2 linked regions of the Drosophila melanogaster genome follow. The protein of the gene in region 2 interacts with the protein of the main gene of each other region in a pairwise test. Each region holds a gene or a part of one and is shown on either strand. Other genes may lie near its edges. The genes, in order: CG8206 and Usp16-45.

What was found.
Region 1: the proteins of Usp16-45 (region 2) and CG8206 interact in a two-hybrid assay, tested with the Drosophila melanogaster proteins (one large-scale study listed by BioGRID).

What each region holds. Positions count from the first base shown.
Region 1 is NC_004354.4:15,737,114-15,741,011, reverse strand, and holds CG8206 (uncharacterized protein), read right to left. Parts: upstream 1,783-3,898; 5' UTR 1,610-1,782; coding exon 1,034-1,609; 3' UTR 595-1,033; downstream 1-594. Other genes in the region: CG11679 (uncharacterized protein), read left to right, coding at 2,186-3,448.
Region 2 is NC_004354.4:5,419,731-5,427,462, reverse strand, and holds Usp16-45 (ubiquitin specific protease 16/45), read right to left. Parts: upstream 5,931-7,732; 5' UTR 5,796-5,930; intron 5,496-5,795; exon of another isoform or gene 5,337-5,495; intron 5,281-5,336; exon of another isoform or gene 5,197-5,280; intron 5,072-5,196; exon of another isoform or gene 4,961-5,071; intron 4,884-4,960; 5' UTR 4,842-4,883; coding exon 4,446-4,841; intron 4,345-4,445; coding exon 3,713-4,344; intron 3,649-3,712; coding exon 2,501-3,648; intron 2,321-2,500; coding exon 1,116-2,320; 3' UTR 557-1,115; downstream 1-556. Other genes in the region: spoon (spoonbill), read left to right, coding at 7,225-7,269. UniProt on the Drosophila melanogaster protein: Involved in the regulation of DNA damage repair.

The sequences.
Region 1 (3,898 bases), about 10 Mb from region 2:
CTACATATATATCTATTTCAATATTTATTATGGCAGAGCAGCAGATTGGGATAGATCTTAATGAAGTTTCAAATGAAGTTAATTAATTTAGATGTCAAGAGATGGATGTAACAGTTGGTAGAACCACTTGGCAATAACTACAGACTCCGTGGGCTTACTATCTTCCGTCCACATGCCATCAGCGCACAAAATCCGTTGTTGTTAGCCAATTTGGGGGCATATCTCTTAGGGATTCGGCGGCCCCTTACGACGCAGAAAAGATCACTCGACAGGGGCGTGTTTTTCATACTTATATGTATTTATATATGGTATGCATTAGTGTCTAGCCCCAAAGCCGTATCTATACCTACCAATCCGGCACATTTCACCATTGCGTAGCCAGGCCGGCAGCGTGCCAATTTTTATTGTTGCGATAATTAGCACTCCGGCTGTGTTTTGATCGATCCGATCAATTAGCGAGCGGCCACCGAGCCCCTTCGGCTTCTACCGGCTTCTAGGGCTCTCCAGATAAATAAATGAGTCCACTTTTGACTGGGCACGTCTAGTATATATGCGTGTGCGTACACAGAAAAAAAAACCTGGTCAATATAAGATAGGCACGGCGTATATTGACAAAAATTGATGGCTTGTAGCCAAAACTTGATGATTGTACATATACATATGTATTTTAACATTTATATCAACAATGAGACATTTTTCTTTCTGTGCACCCTGATTAGATAGTCTACAGCGGAATAACAGATTTAGCCATATACAATGTTTGTTTTTTGCTTTTGAACTGGTCGTTCCTTTAATCACTTTTTTAGGCATTACTCACGGCCCGAAACAATCAACAATTACAGTACAATTATTATATACAGCCGTCTGAGCTCGGAAACAGAATGTGGGATTCCGGTTTGCAGTTGGGTACTTGGGTGCTTGGTTGCTTGGGTTCAATGTGCCACCCCGTGTCGAGTGTGTCCTCCTCAGACACGATTCGCAGGTTGACGGCACCAGGTTCTCACCTCTACTGATGCCCCTTTGACTAGAGTTCCTAAATCAGCTCGCCGCGCTCGTTCACCTTGATCACCCGGACGCGGGCATGCCGGTCGGCCAGCACCTGGTCGATATTCTTGCTGGTACTGATTCCAGAGCTAATGCTGCTATCGCCATCGCTGCCGGTGAACAGTCCCAGATTGTCCTTGATCAGATGGTCGACGGCACAGCCGTCGCACTGTAGGATCACCACGCCGCTGTAGTAGGCCTCTTCGCTGATGGTCTTCGTGTTGCGGGTGTTGCACAGCTTGCAGCGGTACACCAGCTCCATGCGGCGTTGCATGCGTCGGAAGCGCTTCAGTGTCGTCGGCGACAGAGAGCCATTCGCCTGGTTTCCGGACGTGGAGCCTCCCAGGTCAAACTGCTTGGCCGTGAAATGGCACGCATCGAGTATGGAGCGCGGTATGGAAAGCGGTGCTGGACGCGACGATTTTAGGTGCTGCTCGGCATCGTTGGTTAGCGGCACGGCGTCCACCGCTTGTTGCTGCTGGGTGGCGTTGAGGATCGCGTTTTGTCCATTCTGGCGCAAATAGTTGAGAGTTCGCGATGTGAAGATGTTGCGCAATGCGTTCATTTTATGTTGCTACTAAGCGGTGTTGCACATCCGCGTTGCTTTCTGCTCTTGCCGCCCGCTGCAGTGCGTCCTGAATTCTGGCGCCGCACGTGCTGAATGTGGGGTAGTTACTGCGTTTTGTTTTGCCCCAAATGGGGAAGAAAATGGTTAAGTGGAGCGATGAAAACAGCTGATGGCTATCGTTATCGGAGCAGTGCAGGCGGTTGGCCGCTTAAATTCAGTTCTCACATTTTGGCTATTTTGTATCCAGGTTCAGTAATTTGTCTCTATTGGCAGAAGTTTATGTAGTATGAGTTGAAGACTCGTTACAGCATTTCAAAAAGCAAATAACAGAATTTCAACTACCAAATTTGTAGTATAAATACCAAGCAATAATGAAAATTCATAGCTTAGAAATAACTAACGGCCGAAGAACCGAGTTCACCACTGAGTGCCTATCGGATTCGATAATCACAACAAAAGGCAATCGGAGGCCGGCTACTATATTATATAGCCACCAGATACGATTCGTTACCAAACCGATCTCAACTCCCAGAAATGGGCCACTAATTGCTGCTGGAGCATAAATCAAAAGCCATGAACTTTGCACGCCTGAGATTCGGGCAGATGGTCCTTGGAGGACTTCGAATTCCGCGCCAGCAGACGCAGACGCAGTGGATGATGGACCGCCGCCGATGGTTGGCCAGTGAAGCCACCTCATCGGCTGCGGCGCCAGCTCAAGCAGCTTCTGTACCTAGAACTCAAACGCAACCGCGGGTAAAGCCATTGCCGCTAGCCGAGGAGCGCTTGGAGTCGATACTATCGCCCATTCGCACCAGGATCATTCGAAAGAAGCGCTTGGCCATCGATGAACTGTCCGCTTTGGGGTTTCTCAACACCCGTGGTTATACGACCGCCGAGGAGTACAATCTGGAGGATCTGCAGATAGCCCTCCGCGAACAGAACCTGTACGAGACGAAGCGTTTCTTCTCCACAGACAATCTGGACGTGGAGCAGAATGTGCTCTTTGTGGCGGCCAAATATCCGACGGGTCAGCAGCCGCGGGAGATATTCTTCTTCCGCGAGGGCTCGGTGGTCTTTTGGAACTGCAGCGACATCGAGACGAACAATGTGCTAAGTTTCCTGCGCGCCTTCGAAAGGGAATCGTATGTGAGTGCCCTGGTTCACGGGGAGAGCGAGGTGATGCCCTACACCTACATTCCATCGACGGCGGTGGATGTGGAGGGCGATCTGGTGGCGGAGAGCAGCGACTTCAATGTCACGTCACGGGCATTCTTCCAGAATGGCAAGTTCTTTGTTACCGCCGATACGGATAGTTTCCTGTATAAGTACACCTTCTCCAATGCGATGGCACAGTCAATAAAGCTGGGCATGTGGGAGGCGACACTGGACCGCTACATAGACTCCATAGAGCATCTCACCGAGGATCTAAAGCGTGGTCGCCGATTAAGAATCTCGCGGGCGGCCATGCTGCGAAAAACCGGTGAATTATTTGCCCTGCGTCATGTGATCAACCTGTCGTCGGATCTGCTGGATGCACCCGATTTCTACTGGGACCGCGAGGAACTGGAGGCACTCTACCTGCAGGTGTGCTCCTACTTCAGCATCTCACGGCGCACCAAGGTGATGAACGAGAAGATCAACCACTGCGTGGAACTGGCCGAGCTGGTGTCCCACAATCTGAACGATGCCCATCATATCCGGCTCGAGTGGATGATCATAATCCTGATCATGGTAGAGGTGGGCTTCGAAGTGCTGCACTTCGTCAGCGATCACAGTGATTCGCATAAGCTAGAGGTCCTGCCACTGGCTGCTCCTGCCGCCTCGATTCCCAATTAGCAAGTAGGCTTGGTCGATAGTTTTTTGTACTATATTTGTATTTTGACGAAATATAGAATTGTTAGCGTTCCAAAAGTTTGTTTGATCTGTGCTCTATTTTTTTTTTGTCCTTTTTAATTTGTTGTTGCCCGTTAAAAACACCAAACATTACGATTTTAAAATTCTCACTAGATCCAATTTAAAAAAATGGCTAGATTAATCGACAGCACTAAAGCAGACGAAGTGTCATTTCTTTTCCTCTGTCGAAAAATGCTATAGATCTACATCGAGAATATTATAATTTTATTGTATGTGTATTTGTATTTTGCTGAAATATAGAATTATTAGCATTCCAAAAAGTTGTTTCTTGTGTTTTCATTTTGTTTTTGTTTTCCTTATTTAATTTGATGTAGACCGTTAAAACACCAAAAATAACGATTTTAAAAATCTCGATAGATTGAACAAATTAAT
Region 2 (7,732 bases):
CGTGACCTTGGCCAAATGACTCCGGAATGGGATGGAATCAAATGGGGTCAGATGGAAGGCAGATAGTGGGAGAGCCGGTGGCCGATAAGCTGGGGGCGTACTAAATGGAATCGGTATGGCTTACTCCATGATGATGCCTAATCTTCCCCTGCCCGAAACGAAGCTCTTCCGTTTTCGGTTATTGAAATCACAACAGGCGGCGGCGTTCATAAATCTTTTGTCTCTTTAATATACAAGAGAGTTCATAGATTGATTAGTTATCATAAATTAAACGATAGTTAAGCCTAGATCATAAGATAAACTGTGTGTATAATTATTTATTCTTCGCTATTGTATAAATCTCTCCTGTTGCCAATTCTTTCGCTACGTAGGTCCAAGAACACATTTACTCCTTCGGCTGAACTTGTAAATACATATCTACGTGGGCGGTATGTGTATATGGGCCCGTAATATAGTGTATATATATTATATATAATTAAGGTGTACATAATGTTATGTTACTGCAAAGTTAAATATATTGGCAGAAGCGAGCAATCGGTTTTTTTTTATTTCATTTGTATTCGTTATTATAACTTATGAACATCTGCAAATAGTTTCTCTCTTGGTTAACCGCCTCCATTTCATTTGTGCTTATCCGTTTTTAGCTATCCATTCTGCGGTCTGTCTTTTCCTTTCGATCCATTTTTTTAACCCCCAACTCGAGTATGTTTAAGTAACTTTCTGTCATAATGGGCAATTTTGGTAACAAAAGAACTTACAGCTAATAAAACATAATTTTCTCTTCAGTGTCTTTTTGTTAATGACTAAAAAAATAGTACAATTAAATCGAGGACATAATAGCAAACCTCCTGAGAACTACAATTTAACATGAGTGCGTGTGTCTACTCCTTTGCATCATTTAACTAACTAAAGCTTGTTCCAAAAAAAAAAAATAATAATAATAAAAATAGCGAAAGTGTACAATTAATTTTGAGTGGGAGAAACCAAATGCATTTGGCATGTGTGAGTATCTGCCTTCTCTTTCTCCGGCACTCTGTCTGTATCAAATATAGGATTCCAAAATTTTCTTCCATACGCCTCGCATCCTCAGTTCCGCTTAAAGCTCGAGCTAATCCCTAGTATATGCGTTCGTAGAAAAGCAGATAGGCCTGCGCCTTCAGCGCCGTATCCTCGCTGACCTCCTGGACACGCGAGTCGGACACGTAATACCATTTGCCAGGCGGCGCACGAACGTTGGCAGCCTCCTCCAGCTGCTGCGGCTGCTGCGGCTGCTGCGCCTGCTGCGTCTGTTGCTCCTCCAGTGGCGTGGCTGGGGTCTGGCTCTCGTCGGAGGTGGACGAGTTGCTGCTGGAGTTGCTAAAGTCATCGCTGTCGTCCAACACCTTCAGGTGCTGCTCGCGCGCCTTCTCCTTGGCAAGCAGCTCCTCCAGTTTTTTTAGTTGGTCATCGTCCTGGTCCAATTCCGCCTTGCTGCCATGCGGCAGGAACTTCCAGCGTTTGTCGCCCGGCGCCACCTTTGGACGCACCTTCACGTACGCCGTATAGTGGCCACCGTACATGCCGCCCGAGTGCTCCACTACGCCATATAGCGCGTACAACAGCTTCTTCTGCTTGCGATCGATGTTCGGCAGATTCTTGACCTTGGACCCACAAAAGGCGGCAATGTCCAGCAGATTGGGATAGCTAACCGGGCGCGTCAGCTTGCGGAAGATGCAGCGCGGTCCCAGCTGAAAACGCTTCAGGTGTAGTATGAGCACCGCTGGCGGACTGGAGACCAGCAGCTGTTTCGTGGCATTGGTGTTCACCGACTTGGCCTTCGGATCACTGCCGTTAATGCGCTGCGTGCAGCTATCGCATCCCACCTTGTTCTGTCCCGTCATCAGCTCGACAGCGGTGAAATTATTGAGGCACGACTGCACGGAGCACTCTCCATCCTCGCACTGGTAGCGCGGCGCTATCGTGGTGCTCCAGTCCGAGTAGCTTTGCGTGCGCACTCGCTTCGTACGGGCCTGGGCCTGAGCCATGGCTTGAGCTTGGCTAGGAGTCTTCTCTGGCTGCTCGATTGCCTTGGCTTCGCCATCCGCGTCTTCTGTGCCATTGGATGCGCCCTGCTCAGCTCCCACCGAGACCTGGCGGATCACCGAGGCGCCCTTCTCTGAGAGTCCGGCAGTGACCAAGCTGGCTGGCGCCAAGGGATCCTCCAGAGCGCCCGATGAACCGGACAGCCCCGATCCGGCAACAGAGTTATTGTTCCCTGTGGCACTGGTACTGGTGCTGCTGTTGGTAGCAGTTGGTGCTGGACTGGTGGCGATTCCCGAGTCTGCAAGCGATTCGAAATGAAAGGCGACAAGTCAGTATATTGTATTAGGCAATCATCGGATTTTTTCCTAATCACGATCACAGATAAATACAAAGTACAAAGTACAAAGCAACTTAACTTGCAAGGGAATGCAATCTTTATATTTAAATAAAAAAAAATAAAGGCACTCTTTTCACTCACCATTCTCGTCCTCTTCGAGCGAATCCTTGTCCATGTGCTCCGGCGTATCGTCGCGCTTCTCCCCCGGCGGCTGGGCATTGCCATTGCTGTCCATGTAGGTCTTGGAGGGAGCTGTCAAGGATGCCGTACTGCTCGGCACATTATTAGTGGACGGCGCGGCTGTATCCTCCACCAGATTGTCCTCAACATCGGCGTCGGAGTGCTCCGAAGTAGTCACGCTGGAGGTGGTGGAATCCTCGGTCTGGCCGTTGGTCTGTTCGAGGCCATCATTGGCCTGGCCGTCGCCGGCACCCAGGGAAGCCAATGAGGCATCGTCCTGGTCTACGGACTCGGCCAATTCATTGCCATTTCCGCTATCATTTCCGTTCAGATTAAGGCTAGACTTCTGACGCTTCTTGGCCGCCCGCTTCGCCTTACGCTGTCGCTCCTTCTCCTTTTTCACCTGCGACTTGGATGGGCCCAGGGATGCCGCCTCATGGGCGTGCAGGAAGAAGGACGGGGATGAGGCTGTAAAGTTGACACTACCATCCGTAAACTTGGTGTTTATCGTCGGCTGGCCAGTGCTCGGGGTGACGCTAGAGCTGCTGGACGTAAGACTGAGCTCCGGACTTGGCTTTCGGCGCTGCGGCGGCTGAGGTTTCTCTACGGCCACGGGCAGCGACATGTCCAGGAAGTACTCGTGCCGCGAGGAAACATTGTGACAATCCTGGCAGGTGAGCGTTGACACAAGAAAGCCACGGAATACCTGTTCCGGGCGCAGAATTCGGTCTCCTGCTTGATTGCCATAGATCTTGCACTTTTGTCGCATCTCCTCTGACACACTATTTACATCCTGATCCTTGTAGCCGAGGTTCTGCAGAATTACACGCTGGTAGCGCTTTAGGTCCTCGTTCCGCACGCTCTCCAGTAGCTGGCGCAGCAGTTCGTGAGCATCATGCTGATCGCCGCCCGTAAACTGAGGACACTTTACGCACAGCCTGTCGAAGAGTTTTCTGGGCGTAAATACACTACCGCCAGCCTGCAGTTCCTCAAGGGCATTGGCTAACGCGGCCGTGAGTCCACCCCAAGAGGACAGGGTACCCTTGATCATCGGCAGCTCAATGTCACCTTTGTCCTTTATGGTGAACGTTCCGCCAGGTAAGATGAATCTGTTGAATGAATCAAACATCAGATATAATGGTTTTGCATGCACATTTTCGGCCTGGAACTTACTCTTCTCCGGGCTCCGACAGTTCTTTCAGTACGCTAAGTAGGAACGGCGTCTGGGCGAGGCACTGCATCACCGCATTAAAGAAGCATGTATTGCCCAGGTTGGTCAATCCTCGCACGCGGGGCAGGCGTTCATTTTCGATGCGCGGCGTCTCTAGGGTCAGGAGTCGTTTGTTCCCAGTGTTGCCATTGGTGGTGGCCGAGTACTGGTCAATTCTCTTTGCCATACCCGGCACACTGGTCAGCGAGTCTGAGGTCGAAAGTCCGGAGCTAGGCTCTGGTGGTGGCATCGGTATGGCCACCTGCCTATTTCGAGATGAACCGACCCCGCCCCCGCCACCGGCCGCCGCCAGAGACCCTCTACTGCTGGAGTCGTCAAATGATCCGCCAGTCATTGGCACTATTGGTGTGAGATGCTCCAGCGCGGCTTTAAGCTTCTCCTCGATGTAGCTAATCGTTGGCGTACTGGGCGTAACCGTGCTAGTGGGCGGCTTCTGGGCCAATTTCTTGACCAGCTCCACGCACTCAAGCAGGTTTTTGCGCAGATTGGAGCAGATCTTCATGTCGCACTCATAGCACCAGATGTCGAAGGAGCGCGTATTCATGGCCAGGGCATGTGAGTCCGAATGAGGTGTCTGGAACACACAGAACGATTACAGCTTCTACCATATGGAATATCAATGTAAAACGAGAATGTCGTTTGCAACTGGCTTAAGTGAACTAGATCCCTGCTCACCTGGTAGTGTTCTAAGGCGTGCTTGTGGCGTGCCCTCCCGCACAGCTGGCTGCCGCACTTGAGGCACAGCCACAGGGTGTTGTCAAATTCGAAGGTGACCGGATTTCCGCCAGGACCGACAGCTCCTTCACTCGCTCCCGCTCCCGCAGCGCTGCCCGCTGTCTTGCCCAGCTTCTGACATTGGCTGCACTCGTAGAGTAGACCCGTGGACTTCAGTAGACGCCTTAGTCGGGCCGCGTCCACCGCCTTCTTGATGTGCTGGCAGCTGGCGGTGGTGGGGGTGGCGCCATCCGACTGACCGGGCGAGCCGAGTCCTTTTCGATGATGCAGATCCTCATTGCCGGAATCCGTTGAGCAATCGTGGTCGCGACTGTCCGCCTGACGCTTCTTTACCATGGCAAGGTAGCTGCTTGGCCTTGGCCTCCTTGTGGGCGCGCTCTGGAAGGAATATGTAGCGTTCCAATCACAGATTCAAATCTTCGAATTGCTTCGAATGCAATCGTTATAGTCACAACCCTGCTGCTGCTCTTCCGATTCGGCTATCGATGTGTATAACTGGCAACGGGATTGAATTCGATTGGAACTCGCACCGACAGACTGACCCTATTGGCTTTGTTTGCTTTGTTGTCTTTCGTCACGTTTGGAACTGTGACCCAGGATTTGAGGTTAAGTTCGTCGCCCCGCTGCCAGCCAGCGAAATTGAGTGCCCCCGCTGTTTGACCACCCAAACATACATACATATATGTATTACCCTTTTTGCGATGATTTCTCGAAAATCCAAAGGACCCCGAACTCATACACGCACCCAACCAATCAAGCCCATACGCACGCACACATAGACACGAACTGTGATTACCCCCACACACATGCACAACAGGATCTGAGTAGTACCTTGAATTTACTCGCTGCGATATGCGTTGCACGTAAGCACACAACATATATGTTTTACAGCACTTTTATGCACTTTTTTTTATTCGTATATGCGTAAATAGAAAACGTGAACGACGTGACCAAGTGTGACCGTTGCTTATTTGGGTCGCAACTCCCGCGTGTGGTCAATTTCAAATTTTTAGGCTGTTGCTTCACCTCTCTGTTCGATGGCTTCCTCTTCTTCTGACCGCAATGGTATTCAAGTTTGGAACAACAACAATGTGCAAGTTCAAAGTCAGAAAATGACAAATAACCGAAAGGCACACAAAAAACAATCCTAAACATGTTTGCTTGCATGCCGAGACACGCACATACATCAATATTCATGTATAAACAAGCTTACAGTGTAGGAAATATAAAAAATTACAAAACTAGAACTGTGATTACCCACACACATGCACAACAAGATCTGCCTACTACCTTAAATTTACTCGCTGCGATATGTGTAGCACATGAGCACACAACATATATGTTTTATAGCACTTTTAGGCGCTTTTTATTCGTTTATGCGTAAATAGAAAACGTGAACGACGTGACCAAGTGTGACCGTTGCTTATTTTCGTCGCAAATCTCGCGTGTGGTCAATTTGAACCGTTGTCAGAAACTATAGGGTCTCGAAACATGTGCAAATAATTCATTTATATCATTCAACTTATGCTGCAAATAATTGCTATTATTATTATTTTAATTAATTATCCACACTGCTTATGTTCTTCGCTCAAACAGGAGGTAATTAAATCATTGAAGGGATTTCAAAAATCTATGTATGCATTCACTACTAACTAGCTTGGTCTTTTTTTTATTTTGCGCCGCTTTATAAATTTAAAAAAATATCATTTGGAATTACACACATCACTGTGTTAAATTAAAAAGAAGATTTTTAGTGATTGTTTTCTTTGAGATATTGAAGTCGCTATCTGCTCCTATATAAATATTATTTCGAAATTATCGATTTATAGTGCGCTATACTGACAAAAAATAGGCTGAAATTCGCATGAACAAGCATATTGTGGTAAGACAAAATGAAATCAGAACTTCCCAAGAACTACGTTGGAAAATTACAAATGCCCAAAAGTATTGCTCCACAAAATATCGTAACGAAATATCGCGAAATTTGCAACACTTTTGTGCACATTCGGTGGCAACGCCGCCTAAGAAAATACCTATTGCCCCAATCGATACCTATCGATGAGCGTGGGCAGCCCTGTTTGTGCATGTGCTGCCATTCGATTTGATAACCAGCACTCCGTGCACACGTTTTTCGGCTTTCTAGAAATAATTGGGCTGCGATTCAAACTGTGAAGTGATTTTTTCTATATTTTTTTTTTGTGTGCACAAAGGCTCTTGTAATTCGAGGATTTGGCCATCGCGAGTGCGGGTGATTAAGCAGGCAGCTCCGATTGCCAGAGTTTTGCGGATGCATGGCAACACTGCCGCACGCCGGCCATGTTATTGTGATTTGTAAAAGGTGGAACGTAGACACGTGTTTAATTCGTGCAGCACTTTAGCGTTGAGAAAACGACAGTAAATCGCCAGCAAATAAGCAAAAACAATACACAACTCGCGTGTGCAGTAGATAGCTTTGAAAGCACCCAAAGATAGTGAGCAAAATAAGTTACCCAAGCGGTTCACAAAGGTAAGAAATCGCAGCACGCGGAACATAACCTAGTACAAAAAAAGTGCGTGTGTGTGTTTGCCAAAACAGAGAGATGTGACGGAAAATGGTGTCATGTTCTGTTCTGTGTGGATTTGTTCCAATGTCCGTGTCTTGAGCTCTATTCGCACCTCTTTCCCGGTACCATAGCCAACGTTTTAACTACCTTTTTTTTGTCAACTTTTTGTTAAGTGTATGACTCTGCCTTGCCGCTGTTGTTGTTGTTCCGGCAAAGTGACAGTAAGTGGTTATGGAAAAAATTTGGAGTTCAATTCGGCGATTACACAATGACAGCACTCACACACACACACACCCACAATCGCACGCATACACATGCCGAGCATAAGTGCGTCTGTGTGTGTTACAGCTTTCACCGTTAATGTTCGGTTTTTTTACGCCTGAAAGAGAACAAAGGCGAAAAGGAGCTGCCACTCCCACAAAGAAAACATTGCGTCTATGCATACATACATATGTATACACATATAAAGTAGTATATCCCCCGATTATACAATCCCCGCCCATTTTTGGCCACCATATGATCGGAAACCACGTTGCCAAGATTATAACAATGTGGACTTTTTCGGCTAGCTGGCAATGTTGTTGCACCTGATTTGTTGTTGTTTTGGTGCTCTCTTCTGGCTTGCCTCTCTGTGTCGCTCATTCTCGCTTGTTCGGGGGAATTTCAAATTTTTAGGCTGTTGCT